Caenorhabditis elegans: one gene and its partners. The protein of the gene in region 4 interacts with the protein of the main gene of each other region in a biochemical or structural test. Each region holds a gene or a part of one and is shown on either strand. Other genes may lie near its edges. The genes, in order: eat-16, gst-22, snf-6 and lin-7.

Region 1 (6,533 bases), on a different chromosome or scaffold from region 4:
ATAAACAAGCATGTAAAACTCACCCAACAGCATAAAATTCTGCGATATCCTCGGGTTTTTGAGAAAACCATGTGGGGAAAACTGACAATGGGCTTCTTCCATTCACATTAAATGTTGAAACACAAATTTTGACATCTTGAAAGGTGCAGAATCTGTAAAAAGGTAATTAAAATATTAGTTTAAGATTTTCAGAATAGTTTACTTATGCATCCATTCTCTCATAACTTCATCAACTTTTGCATCTCTTCCTTCTATCCAATTACATCGTTGTTTCGTGTAAAACGTCGTCGTCGCCATCGTCACTTTGTTTCGAAAGAGACGTTTTACGTCTTTGACGACGCTTCTCTTCCGATTTTCTCTGAAATAAAACCAAAATTGGCATTTTTATTTCAAAAAAAACTATCTTTAACGATAAGAAAACTACAGAGCCAAGCTAAATGGTAGTAAAATCAGGAAAAAAGTAAAACGTGATGAACAAATACGATGTGACCGTCTAGTTGTCTCGTCACTCTCCTATTGCCAGTTCTCTCTATCTCTCTTTAGTGTGCAAACACCGAATTGAACACCGTATCCATCAACACATTTCGAACCTATTCAGTTTTCCCAGCAATATAATACACAGTTTATGGGTTGTTTATATTCAAGTTTCTCCGTCTTTTTCTATTGGAAATGAAAGATGATAACTCTGCGAGCGAAAAGATGATCGGAGGTCGATTCGCATGAATTTCCCATCGGAAAATTGAAAATCAGTATTGATTGAAACAGGAAGAACCACAAACGAATGTGTTAATTTATCACTCTTTATTATGACGATTTGTTCTGAATCTGGAACATAAAACTCTGATTAATAAAACCAATAAATTTATTATTTTATTTATTCCGCAATTACTTTCTTTTTTTTTTTGATTTGACAACCCAAATTATATTTTGGAAATTCTATTGAACTTTCTATTTATTTTCTAATCAACGTCGAAAACCGGTAGATCCTGCTGTGATGCCTAAATTCTGTACAGATTTCTCAAAATTTTTAGCAGATTTTAAGCGGATTTTAAGCGGATTTGAGATTTTCCCAAATTTTTTTTAAGTACTGAAAATTTCAAAGAGAATCAGCAATCGACGGAAGAATGTTGATCCATTTGCAGAAGAAAACCGAGCAGTCAAATATCCCAAAAGATTACTGAAACTATTGTGTAATCAATTTTCAATGCCCTGAACGAATATTAAAATCAGAATCAAAGATCGTTGACAATGTTCGCAATAGTTGAAATACGAAACAATCAACCCGTTTTTCACTTTTTTGACATTTTTTCTCCAAAAAAAAAGCTAGATGAGGGGAAGAGTAGAAAGTAGTAGTATCCTTCGCCTACCACCACTACCAAAAAGCAACACACACCATATACATGTTGAAGAGACTGAGATGTTAAAGGGAAAAGAAGAAGAAGCTCGTTGTCGCTGTCGTCGTCTTCGAAGCCGTAGCACATCGAAATTGAATAAAAGGGGAAAGAAGTGGACACAAGAGACGCAGAAGAATGAGAAGAAGCCTGGAATACTGCTTCTACTGCTGATTGTGACAACTCGAGACGACGAGATCGATCCGTGAAGTGAAAAGAAGGAGAAGCAGCAGCAGTAGCAGCACACGCACACACTCACTCACGCATCTCTGACACACACATGCACACACATAGAGGGCTCTCGAAGCCCTCTCGGAGCCACAGAGTAATTGAGAGAGTGAGAGACGTTAGACTGCTCGATTATTGGAAATCATTGGGCTGTAGGGGACCCGGCGACTAGGCAGAGAAGGGAAGGCGCCGCTCTCGTCGCCTGCGCTATTGACTTTGCCTGTCTGCGTTTGAATTCAGGAAGACAGCTTCGTCGTATGTCTCACATTCTCACTCAAAATCCACACTCACACACACACGCGCACAAACCCTCACTCTCCTCACCCGCTCACATATACACACATAAGCACCCCCTCGCCCCCCTCTCCGCCCACCACGCACCACAGCAGTCCCCCATCCCCGGAGAAGAAAGAAATAGAGAACGAGAGAGTCAGAGAACTAGAGATCTAAGCATTTTGGCCTTACTATTTTATTATTTTTCATTCCTATCATCTCCATCATCGTTTACTGATCTGCAACCGTATGATACAGTTCTCAAATATTCAATTTGCAGATTATTATTCTAATATTTAATTCAAAAATATCAAAAGCTGTCGAGCTGATTGAGACACGCTGCTCTCAAACCCCGCATTTTGTATGATGCCACCGTTGACCAAGGTATTTCATTTGAAGTTCAATTTTCTTAAAATTTCTTTTGAAAATTTTAGATCGAGGTGCTCGCGAAGCGAGTGATGGAAGGTGCGCAATTGAAAACGCATAAATACTTCCGGATCGCCGTGCCTCATGCCATCACCGGTCAGCAATTGATAGCTCTCGTTCTTGAGCGAGTGAGTTTACTTTCCTCTCAAATACAGCAGGAGCACTTATTTGAAAACTTATAAAGCTTCTGACAAGAAAATCACAAAAATTATGAAAATAAATTTTTAATTTTTAACAGGGTGCTCCTGACGATGAGGCTGAAGCGAGTCATCTGGCAAGTTTGTTACTTCACCACGGTTACATGTTTCCAGTTATCGAACATGTAAGTTAAAGACTGCAGTTTTTCAGTGTTTAACTTAAGTATTTTAAATTAAAAATTAATTCAGGGCCAACCTTTCAAAGACGATGGAACGTTATACAGGCTTCAAAGGCCGTATTTTTGGCCTTCACAGGCTGAACTGGTTCCGGATGTTGAATATGGTAATTCCAAGAAAAGTTATTGTATCTGATCCACTATATTTCAGCCATTTACCTCAACAAGCGATTGCTCCGAAATGAGCAAAAACACGGGTTAGAAGAAGATGAAGTTGAGTCATTCAACAGGTATGGGACATTATTTCGGACATTAGGAAAAATTATTTAGTCAGAAAATATTGAACAATCCTCACGACTTAGAAATAAATTGGTAAAGCTTCGCCAAGAAATCTTACTGAGATCACGAAAAATGTCAAAGTGTACAGAGATTAGTTTTGGCATTTTTATGATTTCAGTTTTGGAGTCGAAAGCTATTATTTTTAACCTTTTAAAAATTGGGTTTTTAATTTTTTGAACGTGCATCGCTGCAGAATGAAAAATCGAAATAATAATTTAATTTTTTTTAGATTATTGAGTTATCTTTCTCGAAATCTGAAAGTTATCTCTGGTGATAGAAAAGTATTTTGAATTTTCAATACATATGGCATTCAAAAATAAATTTTCAGACTTGCCGATGTTCTCGCACACATGTGGGCTTTCATCGTTCAACAGTCTGAGCTTCAATTGAAGCAGCAAAAAGAAAAAAAGAAAGTGGACAAGGTAGTGTTCGATTCAGAAGAACGAGCGTTTTGGAAGATACGAAAACCAAGTCGTGGTGGACCAAATTTCCTAGAGGACCCTTATATGAAAATAGAAAAGAAAATACGACGGCAGAATGCACAAGGTTATAGATGTCTTATGGATCGATTACGATTTGCAATCAAGACAAAGCCATGGCTAAAAGCATTAAAAGCATCGGATACGTGAGTATATTCAATCCAATTGTAAACTTTTCCTAGCTGAATCGAATCAAAATATGTATTATTAAGATTGAATTTCGAACTGATAATGGATCAGATATCAAAAGACAATAGATTCAATTAAATAATTCGTGTTTCAGAATGGTGACGTGGGTTGACCAAAGAGCTGAATTCGATCCATTCCTTCACCCTCCACAACCATCCAATCCATGGATCAGTGATGAAGCTTCATTTTGGAATCAGCCTACTGACACGTAAATTATTATTTAATCTTTAATCTTTATTGCAAATACTTTTTCAGGTCAAGTGCCGAGATCCCTACCGAGAAACGGGTAAAACGATGGGGACTTTCTGTTCAAGAGCTTGTGAAAGATCCTATAGGACGGCAAGTGCTCGAAACATTTTTAGAATCCGAATTTTCGTCGGAAAATATACGGTTCTGGATAGCGATACAAGATTTGAAATATGCACCGAATGAGCAGATATACCAGAAAGCTGAAAGAATACGAGAAGAATTTTTGGCTCAAGGAGCACCTGCACAAGTAAATGTAGACAATAGAACCCTCGATCAGACATTGGAGTGTATTTCGAAAGCGAAAGATGCTTCACAAATGAGATTCGCATTCTATCATTCTGAAGAGCACGTGTTCACATTGATGGCAAAGGATTCATATCCACGTTTCGTCCGATCCCAAATCTACAAAGCAGTATTGACAGCAGCGCAACAGCACGGAACAAAGCGACTCGGGTGGCGCAACTTCGTATTCAACATGGGTACAACTAAAAAACCAGCAACGAGTAAACCAGCAAAGGCAAGATTTTCCAGGAAATTATGTATGAAAACTTTGATATCTTCAGCCGCAAGATTCCATCGGGACTGGTCAAGTTCTCCCAAAACAGCTATCGTCCGACTCGCTGCCAGTTCGACAGGCTCATGGGGTCAAGTAAGTTGTGGAAATATGTCAGAAAAATCTATTAAAATGGGACAATCCTACCACACGAACAATTAACTCCAAAACTGTTAAATTTATATATTAGTTAAGCTTTTGTTCAAATAGGATAAACTGGCGATATACACCTTTAAATATCGGCTAGTTTTTTTTGAGTTAGTATTCCCAATCATTTTTTCTGTAACCTGTTGGTGCTTAAATCTCCTGTCTTGGCAGTTGCCATGAGATTTTTTGGCCAAAGACTAATGACTCAAATCCATCAAAGCTAAACTCATGACCTACTCTCTTCAGCTCATTTCTTTATTTTGCAGACCGGATCCCGAATGACGTCATTCTCTTCTCACATCTCGTTTCTCTTTTCTGCGTGTACGTACGTGTCTGCGTCTCTCTGTATATTCTTTTTCACTTTTCCCTCTTCTTTCTCAAAAAAAAAACCAAATCAAATAACGACCATCAAAAAGGGAAATCAGTATCCTCTGCATCGGTTTTACACGCAAATTTAAATATTTCGAAGCGAACCATTTGATATGTGTATTATCAATGAACTTCTTCTCAAAATTAACAATCTCGAACCACCCAACACTGCATATTTTGACCTTATTTTCTCTTCCAAATCGATCGATAATACATGTAATTCCACAGTCTCTTCAGACTCTTCTAGTCCATCATAATCCACATCTCCTGCCAGCTTCTTCTTCATTTTCACGATATACTAATTTGTAATCCTATTTTCTCACAAAAACGTGTACAAAGTGTTATATTTCTTTCTATTACCCATATTATTTTAATCTTTTCAGAAAATCAATTTTTGTTTCCCTCATTCATTTCACACAGAGTTCTCCTGCTTTTTTGGCACACTTCTCGTTTTTTTTTCAAAATTTTAAAAGTATCTGTAAGGTACCGCTAGCGTATTTAGGTGTTTCAACCTAACTTTTTTCAATTATATCTACTCAAAAATAATTTGATTTGAAAATGGTAATTCGCACCAAAAATGACGATATCATAACGTCTCAGTTCTTTTTTTTTCCAAAAATCATATATAAATTTCATTTTCTCTTACCCTCTACCTGGTGTGATTGTCTCAAAAAAATCAACTTTCAGAACCGGAGTTGTTACATAATATATTATTAATGTGTCAGTATATCATTATTTTCAGCTTTTTGTAGGCGTTGATGTTCAATAAAATTATTTATTCTTATTTTTATGTCTGTGTTACACCTTAATATATATTCGAAACTATGGGGAACTCTGGGAATAAGAAACACAAGGAAAGGGTTTTTTGAAGAATAAAAATTTCTTATATTACATAGATGTCTGAAGATGAAAATTTTGCGGGAAAAAACAACCAAAATGTGCTACGACACGGGAAATTTTTGGAACAATAGAGATTTTGAATAAATTTACAGAATACCGATTATGAGCACGAACGGATTCCGCAACGGATCACCCAAAATCAAACAGTGGGAAAAGGTTTTAGTTCACTTCCATTAATAAAATTGTCTGGATATATCTAATCTTCCAATTTACAGAAAATCCAATATGTATTAAAAATTCACAACGAAAACCCGGGGACCCGGGGAAAACTATTGATTTATCAAAATTATGTTGATTTTTCGAAGAGAAAAAATATAAATAATTTCTTTTTTTTTAAATTGAACCTTTTCCCCGGAAAAATCAAAAAACAGACACCATTTTTTTGGTACTATAATTTCAAGTTTTAAACTGGTAAGAATAATCACACAGCAGGTGAAAATGCCTTCAGCCTGAAAGCTTTATACTAAATTGGAGTCACGGAATAGTTGAATAAAAAAATATCCTGGGGATATTAGCGATTCACCTATGCACTAGCTTCCTATTGTTTTTAATGCAATTATTTACAGTCTAAGCATCAAATATCTTGCAACTCTCAGTCAAATGAGTCAATTCAAAAGTGTTTTGTTTTGTTTCTATTCAAACTTGGCACTTTCTTATCCTTATTCCAAGAATACAAT
Region 2 (3,964 bases), on a different chromosome or scaffold from region 4:
AAATGTAGAGTAGCGAGTAGTTAAAAGAAAAGAAAATCAAAACAAAACAGAAATGATGATGTGATAAGATCACAAGAAAACGATAATAAGGCAAATAACACAAAATTGATTTAAACTTGTTTTTTTTTTCGTTGCTATCACCTGTTTACGTACCTATGTCTCTCAATTTTTGTTAATTTCAGAATATGATTGAGCCAAATGAACATGTTTCCAAAAAAAGTGCAGTTTGTTTTCTCACTGCATCAATTATAATCTCCGCTATTATCCCATTATTTTTTATAATTATTGGAACATTTAACATATTCTCTTGTTCTTCACCAATACTCCCTCTGTGGCTGATCGGAATTGCTATTTTGATAATTATCGAGAGAGTGGTATCTTGGAGGATTTTGATAAGCGAAACTCAATTTGAAAATGAAAATCCCATTCCGAAAACTGACGACTTGAAGCAGATAAAGTCCTGGGAGAAGAGTCGAATGGAAAATACTTCGAAGTGGTTGATTCTCGGGAAGAATAACTTGAGAATTTTGATGTTTGTTGGGTAAGTTTTTGAAGCATTCAGGAACAAACTTGTGTGCCTGCCTACTCGCCTACTTAGCGCCTAAAAACATGTGATATTTTATGGTTTCGTACATTTACATTTCGCAGCGCCCGACAATATTCGGGTTCGACGCCGTACAATTTTCAAAGCGCAGTTTCAATTTGCTAAGAGCAGGCGATAGGCAGGCAAATAGGCGAGCCAAATTCTTTTGTTTTTTTTTTCAGAATAATCTGCGGCACCCTCGAAAGTTACGACAGACTCATACATTCCGACTATCAATGCAGCATAATTGTTCCAATTTCTGTTTTTGTTTTTAGCATTGTTACTTGCATTGTTTACCTATTCTCAATTGTTGGGTCAATTTATATTTGGTGTGTCTCTGGCTTGACTAAGCTTGACCGCTGGACAAAATCATCACTACATCAGGTTTTGTAAAGTGAAACGCAAATAAATATACAGAACGCAAATAAATTTTTAAAACTATTTTATTGCATCATTATTTTTTCTTTCACAAAAAAAACAATTCACACAAGCGTCACTGGTCTTGTCTCGATGTAATCTTTCAACTCGGTAAGATTAAATATTTTCTCCTGGAATTTTCTCAAAGTTAAATGAATTGGATCTTCTGGATCAAGTTCCTTGAGATTCGTCAGAGTATACAAATGATCAGCCACCACCAGATCTGCCCAAGTCAATCCATCTCCAACAAGGAAACCCGATTTGTTCTCTTTAAGAATTCGAGTCAATATTTTGAACATTAAGTTTTTTGCTGGAATGTAAACTTTGTCATGAATTTGCTTCACTTCTTCCATTGTTTTTCCAGTTTTCACGGCATCACGGTAGGGATGGAGTGACGCGTAGTACTCATTAAACTGATCAACGATAGAATCAGCAAAAGCCTCGTCTTCCGGTGTTTTTCCAGCGTAGCCAAACTTTCTAGCCAGATAACGATGAATTGCAGAAGATTGAGCAAGATCAAAACCGTCGATGGAAAGAACTGTGAATCGGCCAAATGGGGTCTCTGAAAACAATGTAATTTTTTGATTGTCTGGTTAGCAAAATTCTTTCAGCTAAAATTGTCAAATTGTCAAAAGTTATTTTTAAATTTCAAAAAGTTTCTTGAGTTTCCTGGAAGCTTCTTGAAGTCATCAAAAATTGTCTGAAGGTTCCAAAAATTTCCTCAAATTTCCAAATGTTTTTATTCCAGAATTACCATGACATCTCCTTGAAATCAAAAATTGCATGACTATCCAGAAGTTTTCAGAAAGTGTCAAGAAGTCTCATGAAATTTCAAAAATTTCTAGGAGTTTCTTGAAAACTCCATAAATATCCAGATGATTCTAAAATTATTTTAAGTTTTCAAGAAGTTTCCCGAAATGTTCAGAAAAATCGAGAAAATCACAAAAATTTATCGGTTTTTCCACAACTTTCCAAACCTTTCCTAGCAAAACTTTTTTCTGATTGAATATGAATTTTCCGCCGAAAAGTGGAAGGGCTCATGTTTCTTTAAAGGTGGACTATGCTCAGTGGGCTATTAGTTTGACTCACTGTCTTTCAACGCTGAAAATTCGTCACTTTGAAATCCCGGAACAGCATTGATCGTCGGCAGTCGAACATCCTCATATGGTACCCCACCAAGATGGAATAACATTCGTGCTGACTCTCCAAACCCACAAGCATCAAAGTAAGTCAGTTTGTAAGAGGGCATATTTTATTTGTGAAGTTAGTTGAATCAATAAAGAATTTATACCTTTACCAACCTTTATCGATGACTCTTATCGCGATTGCAACTTTTCCCCTTATCGCAAAAAACTGCAGAGACAGTTCAAAATGTGGAGGTATTATGTGAATATTAAGAAATCATTGCATGATTCATACCTCTATTAAATGAAATCATGATTTTATTATATTTTATTGGTTTACATATGAAGACTGTACTAATGGGTGATACTGTCTGTACGATCTTCAGAAATTTTTTTATGGATTTTTAGCAGAAAACGAGAGCTGTGATTGAACAAAAAAAACTATTCCTTTTGTTTTTGTTAAAAATTAAGTGTTATTTTTAATTGCTTGTAAAAACAATGTCATGTCGGCAAAACAGATGCATTTTCAAATTATACAATATGTTAAATTATAGAATATAACTATACAACCACATTGTAACTTTTCTATCAAACTTTGCTTTACAATTCATGCAAAATATATAAATAGTCCCTATCAAGGAGACTATATAAGTTATGGAAGCAATAATACAAAATCCGGAAACCGAGAAAAGAACAGAAGATTTGCATAAATAAATCGGTCGGCCGAGTTGTTCATAGCTCCAAATAGCTCCAAGGGCAACCCTGAAACTTTTCTAGTTTTTAGACATTTGTAAATTTGAAATCAATTACGCTATTAACATGACTCCTTCCAACGCATATTTTATTGATATCCACCAAAAATTTTCGAACCAGTTTTTCTTTCTTCCATCTTGCGGAACATCCTCCATGAGTTTCTTCACTTTATTGAATAGAATTTTCCAATAAATAATTCTATCAATAATAATTAAAATACCAACAAAAATAAGCCATAATGGAAGAAGCGGGTTCTCACATTTTCCTTGGTTTTTAAAGCCGATTGATAGGAACCATATTGGAATAATAAGGAAGAATAAGTTCAAAATTACCAAGTAACAAATATGGTGTGTCATGGTCGAAGAGAAAAGTTGAAAATAGGTTGAATTAGTTGTGTCAAATTGTTATCAAATAGAGTGGTATCAATCACTTCCTCAGTCCCTGTGTTCGCGGAACTTTTGAATGAGTGAGAAAGAGAGAGAGAGAAAAGAAGAGAAACCAAATTTTAGTCACAGATTACACTAAAGTAAGAGATGAATAATGTATGTTAAGTGTACTGGCATTGACCTACGGGATTAAACTATCAGGATTTGTAACTTATTCTAACCCATGTCAATGTTCTGAGACTTACATATCTGCCCGCGCTTTCTTCATTTCGAGTCACCAACATCCTATATACCGTGAGAAATACATTCAATATAGTTCAAATGTGAATACAACACTCCAAGAGTTAACATTTTGTTTTAAAGTATTAACTGTTTTACCTTTCTCCTTCGGCACAAAAATCCTGTGAAATCTGGAGACAGCTCAGAAGAACATCGACATAGAAAAAGGCTCTAAGACCCCCGCTCTAGTGAAAGTAGATGGCTTGAGTTCAAGAGACCTAATGGTTTTAAACTGTAATTAATTTTCTTCTTCAAGTTCACTGCAAAATTATTTTGAAAAACATTTTAATTGTAAGATGCAAACTAAACTCAAATATGTTAACCACAATTTTCTGTTTTTTTACAATCCCGGTTTGGTGATGCCGTTTTATTATATTTTTTATTACCAACCGCCTGTTTCCTACAAAAAGCAAGAGTTTCTG
Region 3 (5,466 bases), on a different chromosome or scaffold from region 4:
TTTATGCATTTTTCAGAATTTTTCAGAATTTTTATGCATTTTTCTGAATTTTTATGCATTTTTCTGAATTTTTATGTATTTTTCTGAATTTTTATGCATTTTTCTGAATTTTTATGTATTTTTCTGAATTTTTATGTATTTTTCTGAATTTTTATGTATTTTTCTGAATTTTTATGTATTTTTCTGAATTTTTATGCATTTTTATGCTTTTTTCAGATTTTTTCAGAATTTTTATGCATTTTTCTGAATTTTTATGCATTTTTCAGAATTTTTATGCATTTTTCTGAATTTTTATGCATTTTTCAGAATTTTTATGCATTTTTCTGAATTTTTCAGCTCCAAAATCACCTTGGAAGCCGTTTTTTGCAGTCTGTGAATAAAACTTTTTGAACGCCCCGCTCGTAGTAATAATCCTCGATTTGGTGCCTGAAAATGGGGAATTTTTGAGAAAATTTCGGATTTTACAGCGTTTTTTCCGAAAAAAAGGTAAAAAGAATCGATTTTTCTTCATTTTTTATAAAAATCCGGTCGAATTTCACCCAGAAATCGTTAAAAAAGTGCAAAAAATCGCGCTAAAATAGCCAAAAATTCGAATTTCCCGCCACTAGTCCACTGGAGCGCACTTGCACTGCGCGGTCGGCGGGAATTCAAATTTTTAGGTGATTAAAGTGGATTTTTGTCGGAAAATCGCAATTTTTGACTAAATTCGTTGAGAAAAAGCCGAATTTCGTCGAAAAAATCCAAAATTTTTCGGAGAAATTCTGAAAATCTTGATTTTTCAAGCGTTTTTTCCGGATTTTTTCGAATTTTTCCGGGTTCTCACTTGTATTTCTTCATATCTATCAAGTCACACTTGTTCAGGACGAGAATATGCGGTCGAATAGCGTATAAATGTCGAAAAAACTGCTGATTTCGGCCGGTAATCGGGATTCTGGCGTCGTGGACCTGGAAAAAATGTCGATTTTTGCAATATTTCCCGATTTTTCAACTTTTATAGGCGGAAAAATTCACTAAAATTCTTACACCAGTTTTTTACACCAGTTTTTCGGTTTTTCAGCGTTTTTCCGGTGATTTTACAGATTTTCCAAAAAAAAAATCGTAAAAGTTCCATTTTCCATGCAAAACCTCAATTATCAAGTCGACGGATCGCAATTTCGCTTCCATTTTTTTCAATTGTACGGACATATGCATTGGAAACCACTGCCGATAGTCATATTGCGCGGGAAGTTCGAATTGTTGGCGAAATTCTGAAAAGAATTGCGATTTCCGCGCGGAAAACTGAGTAAATAATGGGGTTTTCGGGTACCTGGAGTGGAAATTCGATATGTTGTGTGCAGAAATCGACGAAAATTCATATTTTTTAACTGGAATTTGAAAAAAAATTGAGAAAAAATTGTGAAAACAATTTTTTCCTGTAAAAAATCAAAAAATAACCTGAAATTGCATGATTCGTACTCTGCGTCTCTGCTCTCTCATGCGTAGCAATGGAGCGCAATTGCAGAGTCAATTTTTAATAACTTTGGAAAATCCTAATTTTCACCATTTTTAAGGGATTTTTTACAATTGAAAATGCGAAAAACAAACAGAAAATGTTTTTAGCCGCATTTTGACACCAAAAACTACACAAATTACTCCCCAGAGAAATATAGATTTTTCGAGAAAAACTTGATTTCAAGAAAAACTGTGATTTTTGGAGTCTTCGTGATTTTTAGAGTTTTTCTAGTGGATTTTCGGTTTGCACCGGTATTAGTTTTAAAATGTTGGTATTCTCCTGAAAAATTCAAAAAAAAACTAACAATTTCCGGTGTTTTCTGGTATTTTCTCTGTAAAAATGGTTTTTTTTTGTTTAAATCTTATTTCTTTCATAATAAATGCTTTATTCAACCAACAAAGATGCTTCCAAACCCAATTTAATTTATTTCATCAGAATTTCCATTTCAAACACCCGCCAACAAGCGATTTCTCAATGGAGCGCGTTTGCATTGGCAACCTGGAACATTTTTATTTTCCAGAGCGGTTTTTCGTGAAAAACGTAAATTTTTCATTAAAATTTTCGATTTTTATAATTAAAATTGAATTCTGGAAGTGAGTTGCAGCATTTTGACCCCAAAAATCTAAAATTTGACCCGAAAATTATTGATTTTCAGCTAAAAACTCATTAAAACCGATTTATAGCCAATTTTTTCCTGAAATAAACTAATTTTTCCCACATTTTCCCACAATTTCTCACTTTTTCATTCGTTTTCCCCGGCTTTTCACGTATGTTTTCAATTCGGGCGAGCCAACTGCTTCCGAAATTTGTGTAACAACGGGCCGCCGCGTCGCCTCGTTTCTCTTTCGTTTTTACTCTAAAATTCGTATTTTTCTTCGCAATCTCTTGCTAAATAGCTCAAAAAATCGTGAAAATTGCTAATTTTCAGGTTTTAAACCGACGAAAAATCGATTTTTCCAAGAAAAACCGAGTTTTTCCACACCGAAAATGTCGGTTTCGAGCAACGATCCGGAGCAGAGGAATGGACGGGGCATGGCAAGCGGAAACAACGTGGATATGAGCCTATATCCTCCGTTTATTAAGCAGGTTTGTGGAAAAATTCGGAAAATTCGAGAAAAACGGATAATTTTGACGTTTTTCCCGAAAAATTTGGATGATTATCGATTTTTTGTGAAAAATTCCAAAAAAACCACAAAATTTGATGAAAATTTCCACTAATTTTTGTCCTAAAACCAATAAAATCATTGAATTTGCTGAAAAATTGCCGAAAAAATAAATAAAATCAAATTCCCCGCCACTAGTCCGCTGGAGCGCACTTGCTCCACGCGGTCGGCGGGAATTCAAATTTCCGTTTGATCTACGGCGGGAAACGACCAATTCCCGCCATTTTGTTAAAGATTTCAGCGAGAATTTTGAGTTTTTAGGGAAAAAACTGATTTTTTCGCAAAAAAAACCCTGAAATTTTTCAAGCTCGACGCAAAATTGCCCGATTACACACGAGAAGGTGACATCGAATATCCATTCGAAGAGATTACGGGTGTCGGAGACGAAAATAGGATACGAGGTGCGACAAAAATCCACGTTTTTCGATTTGGTGGCCTTCAAATCCAAAACTCGGCCACCAAACTGTTTTCATTGAATTCGCCACGTCAGCAGCTTTTGAATGACCCCCAACATGACCAGAATACGTTGATTTTGAGCTTTTGTAGTTTCGACACAGCTGAAACCGGTGCTACAGTACCCCGCGTGGCGAGACCCGAATTTTTCAAATTGCACGGAAACAGGGCATGATGGGGGTCATTTTGAAGCTGGAGACGTGAAAAACACGAATTTGTGTGAAAAAATCCATAAAAACCAAAATTTTTATTGAAAAATGCTAAAATACCAACAAAAAAAATTTTTGTGAAAAAAAAAATTTTTTCAGGAAATTGGAGTAACAAGTCGGATTATCTGCTAGCAGTAATTGGTTTCACAGCGGGAGTTGGTAAGAAAGCGAGAAATTTGAATTCCCGCCAAACCGCTAAACAACACGCGTTGGTGTACTAGCGGAGTGTCGTTGTTTTTCTTGTAAAAACGTTGATTTTCTGGGGGCTTTTTGAAGTTTTTTCGCATCAAATTGATGAAAATAGCAATTTTTAACTGCTTTTTCATGGAAAAAACCAATAATTTTCCCTAATTTTTAGGCCAGAAATCCGGAATTTTTACGATTTTTCGGCGAAAACAGGGGCCAAAGTCCACGATATCAGCAGATAATAATCTGACCATACGAAATGAGTACGTGCGAGAAATTGATAAGATTATAAATTGATAAGAGAGTGTGTGTGTTCTAAAGTTCTAACATCTCTTGTTTTGGGGGATTTTTTTTTGGTGAAACATTGGATATTTTTGGGATTTTCAGTGGAAAAATGGATAAAATATCGATTTTTCTGCAAAAAAAACTCGAAATTTCAATTTTTCAACGCATTTTTCACGTTGAAACCAGACAAAATCAGTGAAAAAATCGAATTTTCAGTAATTTCTCAATAGAGCGCACTTGCTTTATTTTTTCCAAAAAAATTAACTTTTCTATTGATTTTTTATAGTTTTTTCTTCTAAAAACGAATTTCAACACCAAAATTTTGGAAAAAAAAGTTTAAATTGTCATTTATTGGGTCTAAATGATTTGAAAAGCGAAAATCTCACATTTCTAGTAATTTTTTTCAAATTTTCAGTTGGAAATTGAGTTTTCCACTCATTTTTACCCTAAATTGGTTTTTTTTCGAACAAAATAGATTGATGGCCTAACTTTCGGGGGTTCTAGGCCACCAATCTGAAAATGATGGTTCCTAGCCATGTTTATCGATTTTTTTTTTGGAGTTTTTGGTTCAAATAATGAAAATAAAAACATTTTTAACTGGAAAATCACAAAAATTTCGGTTTAAATCCCTAAAATCTTCTAAAAATCGATATTTTCGTGACTTATGTGCTTCTACTCGTATTGATGACATAAAAACTGTATTTATTCACATTTTCAGCCTTAAATTGGCTGAAAATGTGAATAAATACCGTATTTCTGCCAACAATTTGACAATAGAGCACATTTGTCACTCGGAGATGCGGAAGCTATGCCCAAATTTTCTATTTTCCCGAAAACTCGTGTTTTTCATTTTTTTTTTTCCAGTGATTTTCACAGTTTTTCATTACGAAATTCGGCTTCTCCATCAATTTTCACCCCCGTAACCCGATTTTCAGCCAATTTGGACTAATTGTCGTAAGGTTCGGTGCCTAGCAGGTGTTTGCGTACTTTTGGGGCTACCGTACTCCTCGAAATTCAAATTTCAAACTGGCTTTTGGGAAAAAAGTCCAATAGCGGCAAAATAAACCGGAGAATTCGAACTTCAATGTGAAAATTCCTGAAATTTCCTGGAAAGTTCGAAAAAAAAACGTTTTTATCAACAAAAAATTAAAATTTCCAACTTTCAATATATTTTTCCAGCATTTTCATGCGAAAATTCAAATTCCCCGCAAATTTTCACCCCGGTGACTGTTTTTTCAGCCAAATTGTGCGAAATTTCGCAAAATTCGGTGTTTGCGTACTTTCGAAGCTACCGTACCCCCCTCGAAATTCAAATTTTTTCAATTAGGAATTTTTTTTTGTAAGATTTTAACGAAAAATTTGAATTTCCCAGTGAAAAATCGCGAAAATTTCTGGAAAATCTTGAAAAGAAATTTTTTTTTTTGGAAAATTTTTAATTTTTTTACAATTTTCTCTTCCTTTGCAGGAAGTTTCTGGAAATTCCCATTTCTAGTATTCCAACATGGCGGTGCAGCATTCCTTGTACCATATTTATGTATGTTATGCCTCGCCTCACTACCAATGTTCTTTATGGAAATGGTACTTGGACAGTTCTCCTCGTCGGCTGCGATTAGTGTTTGGAAGGTGGTTCCGTTGTTTAAGGTGAGAAATTTTGGCGGGTTTTAAGTGGGAAATTTGA
Region 4 (5,827 bases):
GACAAATGCTGATGGAGAATACTGTATGCAGAGTTGTGCTGCCCAGGCGTGGTCCGTCGGTTGCCTGATTGAAGCATGTGTAAAACTTAATACTATCGAGGGATGATATTTTCCTTTTTTTTAGAATTCAGAATATTGCATGTATTTCCTTGTTGCATTTCTAGCTAACTTACCATTTTTGATTTTTAAGTTCAACTTTTTATATAGCTTTGAGCCAAAGAAATTTGAAACAAAATGATGAAAAATAAAGTATTGTACAAAAAATGGTGATGTGCTGATTTGGTTATTTACACACAAAAACGAGCTCGAGGATACCATTCTCGTGAGAATTGAAGGACCGGTTTTCGAGGCGTGCTGCAATGATGATCCAGAAAGTGTGTGGATGAATTGGGGATAGAAGGAAATAGAATTACTGAGAAAAGCAAAGAGATCAACGCGATGGGGATTTTGGAGGCTTATAAGGAGGTCGTATAAGAATTTAAGATTGACGGATGGGGAATATTCAGGCGTTATTTGCCTGCTCACAGGCATCCACCCAATCAGAATAGACGTCGATTGGCTCGGAGAGGTAGTTGATGTTTGTTTGGAAGTCTTCAGAGCAGACACGACACGAGATATAACCGACATTCTTTTCGCGATCCCTGGAAAATTATTACGTTTTTTTTTGAAACGATTTTCCTTAGAAAGTACATTTTCACTTCACAAACGCGTTCATGATTGCAAAACGGACAGTTGAATTGGGTGTCGAGTGGCATTACAGCCTTTGCCTTGGTTGGAGCCTTTCTCTTCGACTTTCGCTTTCCCATTGCTGCGGATTGTTTGGATTGGTTCTGAAAAACAATTATTAAGTTCGGGAAACGTAAAAAGAACAGAATATTTTTGCAGAAGGTAAAAATATGTTCCAATCTCGAAAAAAAAGTTCGAAAATTACATTTAAATTGCAAGAAAATATACTAATATACAAACCACTCAAAAATGCGACACTCAGAAATACTATATTGTTTTTTTCTGTATTCTAAAAACTATAACGTATGCACAATGTGAAAATTTTTCGTGAGTGTCGGCTTGAAATTCCACATTTTTGGACTTCAAATTCACAAAATTTTTTGAATCATCAGGTTTTATATGGAAAATTTACCTATTTTGACACAAAACATAATATTTCTATCATATAAAAACGGCAAAAATCCGGCAAAAAGTAACACGAAAAACAGCCAAAAAAGAAATTTCGAAACAAAATTGGCGCGAGGAAGACAGTTAGATGCGCAGGTTTTCTCGACTACGGTCTGCAGTACACGTTGCGTACTGCGTACAAAAAATGTTGACCGTAGTCTCCAAAACAATTAAGCATTTATCGGACTTTCCGGAGCAGGATTTATTCATTTTATGCTTAAAATTAAACATTTCTCAATATTTTATCAATAAATTAAATGAGAAAATTGTTTAAATCGTTAAAAAGCATTAAATAATGCTGAAAAACGTTAATTTTCAATAAAATATCTTTCTAGTGATGCAATGCAACTCAAAATTATAATTTAACAATTAAAATTATCTAAATTCAAATTTAAATATTCAGATGGGCCTCAAGGGATTCACCGGTAGTTTTCAACAAATTCGCGGACTTCTACGACCACCAAAGAATCTCCCGTTCCGTGGAATTTTCCGGAAAGACGGAGAAGTTGTGCGAAAAGACGATTTGCTGGTGAATCAATTCAAAATGAATTATCATCCAGGGTTAAATGTAAGATTTATTATCAAATATCTTTGATTATTGAGAAGTTATTCAGGTTTACTATGAAAACGATCGCGGAGAACGTCTTCTGCGTGCCCATTGCGACGGAATCGTTCGTATCTCCCAGGAAAAATGCGATCCGGACTATGAAATTGAGGAGATGAAGGGATACGAGTATAGGAAAGACGTGGATTTGTACAAAATGACGTTCAATGTGATTCCGCTGGAATTGTCTCAGAAGCACACGCTGCGACATGAAATTTAAATTTAATTTTTTGTCGATTTTTTTTTTGGTTTTGTTGTGTTTAATAATTTTCTGACGGGCTATGGTCAATTAGAATAGTAAATAATGTTTTTCCGCTCTGGATAGCTTAATTTTGTAATTTTTAATTGGTTTTCTTGCCATTTTTACCTATTTCCGTCCTATTTTTCCCCTCCTTTCCAACCAAATCTTCCAGATGGATAACCCGGATGGTCCGAATTTGGAGCGGGACGTTCAGCGTATTCTAGAGCTCATGGAGCACGTTCAGAAGACTGGAGAGGTCAATAATGCAAAATTGGCATCGCTGCAGCAGGTGCTACAATCCGAATTTTTCGGTGCCGTCCGAGAGGTCTATGAGACTGTTTATGAATCAATTGATGCGGATACAACGCCAGAGGTTCAGTTTTTTTTGATAAAACTGACAAAAATGCCGGAATTGAAATTTCCGGCAAATCGGCATATTGCCGGAATTCAAATTCCTGGAAAATCGGCTTATTGTCGGAATTGATAATTCCGGCAAATTGGCAAACTGTCCGAATTAATACTTCCGCCATATCTGCAAATTGTGGTTTTGCACATTTTTTTTGGAATTTTCAAAATTTAAATTTTAAAAAATTCAAAAAGGCACAGTTTTAAGTGTTTCCGTATAATGAAAATCCCTACAAAAAATTCCGGAAAATCGGTAGTTCGGCGAAAATCAAAATTTTCGGCAAATCGGCAAATTGCCGGAAATGCAAATTATGGCAAATCGGCAATTTGCCGAATTTGGCAAAAAAAAAGCCGAGCGACAATTGCCGCCAACCTTGATAATTAAAAGTTGTCGAAATTTCAAATTGTAGTTTTTTTATTTTTCGAAATAATTTTGAGCCGTTTTTGAACAACAGAAAACAAAAAAAAACACTAAACATTTTTCAGATAAAAGCCGCCGCAACAGCTAAAGCAACAGTGGCGGCGTTTGCTGCAGCCGAAGGCCACGCGCATCCACGTATCGTTGAGCTCCCAAAAACCGATCAAGGGCTTGGATTCAATGTTATGGGCGGCAAGGAGCAAAATTCACCGATTTACATCTCCAGGTGCAGATATAAAAATATTTAATGATTTTATAATTTAAAAAAAACGATTTGAATTGCAGAATAATCCCTGGTGGCGTAGCCGACAGACACGGAGGTCTCAAACGAGGCGATCAACTTATTGCGGTCAACGGAGTGGTGGGTTAAATGTTTAATTCAATTTTTTTTTAGTTTTTTTCGGAAAAAAAACATCGAAAAATATTGATTTTTCAATGTTTTTCAATGAAAAAAAAATCTAAAAATTCATTTTTTTAAGCAAAAAACGAAACTTACTTTAATTTAAGTGTTTTTTTATCGAAGATTTCAGATTTTTAGTGTTTTTCAGAAAATAAACCGGAAAAAAGTAAAGGAACCAGTAATAAAAGACAGAATTTTTCGGTTTACGAAGATTTCCATATAAAAGAACATTATAAATTTTTCTTAATATTTTTTTTCGAAAAAATGAACAATTTATTCTCATTTTTTAAAATTGAAAACAACTACACTTTTAATTAGTAGAAGAATATAACTCGAATTAGAAAAAAAACTTTGATTCAAAAAAATAACTTTAAAAAAATTTCAGAACGTGGAAGCCGAATGCCACGAAAAAGCAGTTGATCTTCTGAAATCCGCAGTCGGAAGTGTAAAGCTAGTGATCCGTTATATGCCGAAACTCCTGGATGAAATGGAGCGGAGATTCGAAAGACAGAGAATTCGATCCACTCAGCAGAGTCCAACACTCCCGACGCCGTCTTCTTCGACAAATCCACGAAGATAAAAAAGACGGAACATTTGTAGAAATCAAGAATTCGAGAATTTTTGGAAAAAATACGAAAAAAGCCACAACAAAACTAAATGTTACGGGAACACTAAATTTCGAGAATGCGTACTGCGCAACATAATTGACGCGCAAAATATCTCGTAGCGAAAACTACAGTAACTCTTTAAAATATTACTGTAGCGCTTGTTTCGATTTACGGACATCATTTATTAATCGATGAAATATCGAAAGAAAACACAAAAAAAAGACAACAAAAAAACAAACAAAAAAATATATTTTTATTTTTTATACAAATTTGTGTTCGAATTGGTTTTTCGTTTTTTTTTTTGTTGTCTTTTTTATGTTTTCAAATGATGTCCGTAAATCGACACCAGCGCTACAGTAGTACTTTATAAAATTACTGTGGTTTTCTCTTCGAGATATTTTGCGCGTCAATTATGTTGTGCAATACGCATTCATGTGCTCCCGTAATATAGATAATGGACATTAAAACAATATTTCTAAAATTTTTGCATCAAAATGTTTTGAGGCCCCACGAAAAGGGGAGCAAAACGAAAAGGGGATCTGCAAAAAGGGGATCTGCAAAAAGGGGATCTGCGAAAAGGGGAGATACGAAAAGGGGAGCAACGAAAAGGGGAGCTGGCACTGTGCCAAACGCACAAAACGCAATTTTTCTCACGCAACGCACGTTGATTTTTGAAATTTTCTTCTAGAAGATACGCTTAACAACACGCGACGCGTAACATCGGAGCATCGTTGTATCGTTTTCTTCGAGAAAAATAGCGCTTGGCACAGTGCCAGATCCCCTTTTCGTTGCTCCCCTTTTCGTATCTCCCCTTTTCGCAGATCCCCTTTTTGCAGATCCCCTTTTCGTTCTGCTCCCCTTTTCGTGTGGCCTCAATGTTTTACTGCAAGAGTTCGCATTTTTCTGCAAACATTGATTAGTTTAGCCGAGAAAATAGAACTTTTGTAGCAATATTGAAAGATCTTTTCTTGAAACTGAAATTTTCGCTGAAAAGTTTGCATTTTCCACCATAAAATCCCTATTTTTTCTATTTTTTTCCAGTTCATGTATACTCATTTCTAACTTCTTCTCTTCTATTCTTTGTTCTAGATTTTTAGATATCCCTATATGTACATTATTATCTCTTTTTCCGTTTTCAGACAAATTTCCAAAACAATGTTAATCTCAACACTCACCCTCTCCCCAAATTATTGCCCAAAAATTGCTTTAATAATCTTGCTTTGCCTTACGTTCTTTCAAATAGGTGCTTTTCTCCATGTATCTTTAATAACTAAATTTTTAAAATAATTTTTTTTCATTTTTCGGCATTTTTAAAAAAATATTTTCCATGTTTCAAAAATCACGAAAATCTATCTTTTTGATGTAAAATTCAACTTTTTTCAGATTTTTTTTTCAGAATTTTCTCGAAATGCTCACACAAAAAATCGGCAGACTAATGGCTTGTACAGTAACCCGACAGGCTCATCGGATGCTCACCGAGCAAGAGATTAAAGTGACGAATAAGGCAGCGAGCAGGCTTAAAGTTAGTCTGTCCTTGGGCGCCCAATTTTTTTGAAAATTAGAAATATTGTAAATGGAAAAACGAGAAATTTCGATTTTCCAGTTTTTTTTTTCGGAAAAAAATCGGCACTTTCCTATTTTTCAAAGTTTTTCAAAGCATTTAATTTCCGGTGTTTTTTTTACAAAAAAATTGTATACTTTTGATTTGTAGTGCTTTTCAGAGAAACCCCGATTTTCAAAAAAGAAAGTTAAAAAATTTTGTGAATATTGTTCGAAAATTCAATTTTTTTCAATGACTAGAAAAAAACCTTAATTTAAAAAATTAATTCTTCAAGGAAGTCGTTGATAACGGAGAACGCCTACGACTTGAGGTGGATGGAGGTGGATGCTCGGGATTTGAGTATAAAATTCGATTGGACAAAAAAATTAACAACGACGATTTATTATGGAAATCATCAGAGAATGGAGCTGAAATTGT

The links.
Region 1: the proteins of lin-7 (region 4) and eat-16 form a complex in vitro, tested with the Caenorhabditis elegans proteins (one study listed by BioGRID).
Region 2: the proteins of lin-7 (region 4) and gst-22 form a complex in vitro, tested with the Caenorhabditis elegans proteins (one study listed by BioGRID).
Region 3: the proteins of lin-7 (region 4) and snf-6 form a complex in vitro, tested with the Caenorhabditis elegans proteins (one study listed by BioGRID).

What each region holds. Positions count from the first base shown.
Region 1 is NC_003279.8:9,720,549-9,727,081, forward strand, and holds eat-16 (Regulator of G-protein signaling 7), read left to right. Parts: upstream 1-2,172; 5' UTR 2,173-2,255; coding exon 2,256-2,276; intron 2,277-2,326; coding exon 2,327-2,446; intron 2,447-2,556; coding exon 2,557-2,640; intron 2,641-2,704; coding exon 2,705-2,798; intron 2,799-2,842; coding exon 2,843-2,921; intron 2,922-3,298; coding exon 3,299-3,595; intron 3,596-3,732; coding exon 3,733-3,846; intron 3,847-3,893; coding exon 3,894-4,404; intron 4,405-4,418; coding exon of another isoform or gene 4,419-4,432; exon of another isoform or gene 4,433-4,450; coding exon 4,451-4,536; intron 4,537-4,853; coding exon 4,854-4,869; 3' UTR 4,870-5,736; downstream 5,737-6,533. Other genes in the region: ocrl-1 (Rho-GAP domain-containing protein), read right to left, coding at 24-152, 203-297.
Region 2 is NC_003283.11:16,230,023-16,233,986, forward strand, and holds gst-22 (glutathione transferase), read right to left. Parts: upstream 2,261-3,964; 5' UTR 2,250-2,260; coding exon 2,090-2,249; intron 1,563-2,089; coding exon 1,066-1,562; 3' UTR 1,010-1,065; downstream 1-1,009. Other genes in the region: F21H7.12 (uncharacterized protein), read left to right, coding at 186-541, 766-976; F21H7.3 (Serpentine Receptor, class E (Epsilon)), read right to left, coding at 2,673-2,886, 2,935-3,233; clec-233 (C-type lectin domain-containing protein), read left to right, coding at 3,902-3,964.
Region 3 is NC_003281.10:1,529,782-1,535,247, reverse strand, and holds the start of snf-6 (Sodium-dependent acetylcholine transporter), read left to right. Parts: upstream 1-2,420; 5' UTR 2,421-2,479; coding exon 2,480-2,578; intron 2,579-2,962; coding exon 2,963-3,056; intron 3,057-3,416; coding exon 3,417-3,476; intron 3,477-5,253; coding exon 5,254-5,429; intron 5,430-5,466. Other genes in the region: mtg-1 (CP-type G domain-containing protein), read right to left, coding at 349-426, 824-945, 1,126-1,247, 1,307-1,355. UniProt on the Caenorhabditis elegans protein: Mediates sodium-dependent uptake of acetylcholine at neuromuscular junctions during periods of increased synaptic activity, may also prevent spillover to adjacent synaptic sites.
Region 4 is NC_003280.10:14,345,156-14,350,982, reverse strand, and holds lin-7 (Protein lin-7 homolog), read left to right. Parts: upstream 1-2,190; coding exon 2,191-2,391; intron 2,392-2,909; coding exon 2,910-3,067; intron 3,068-3,126; coding exon 3,127-3,202; intron 3,203-3,626; coding exon 3,627-3,821; 3' UTR 3,822-5,139; downstream 5,140-5,827. Other genes in the region: agl-1 (Glycogen debranching enzyme), read left to right, coding at 1-106; elof-1 (Transcription elongation factor 1 homolog), read right to left, coding at 503-641, 691-806; Y54G11A.17 (L51_S25_CI-B8 domain-containing protein), read left to right, coding at 1,577-1,741, 1,788-1,997; Y54G11A.9 (Core domain-containing protein), read left to right, coding at 5,258-5,371, 5,685-5,827.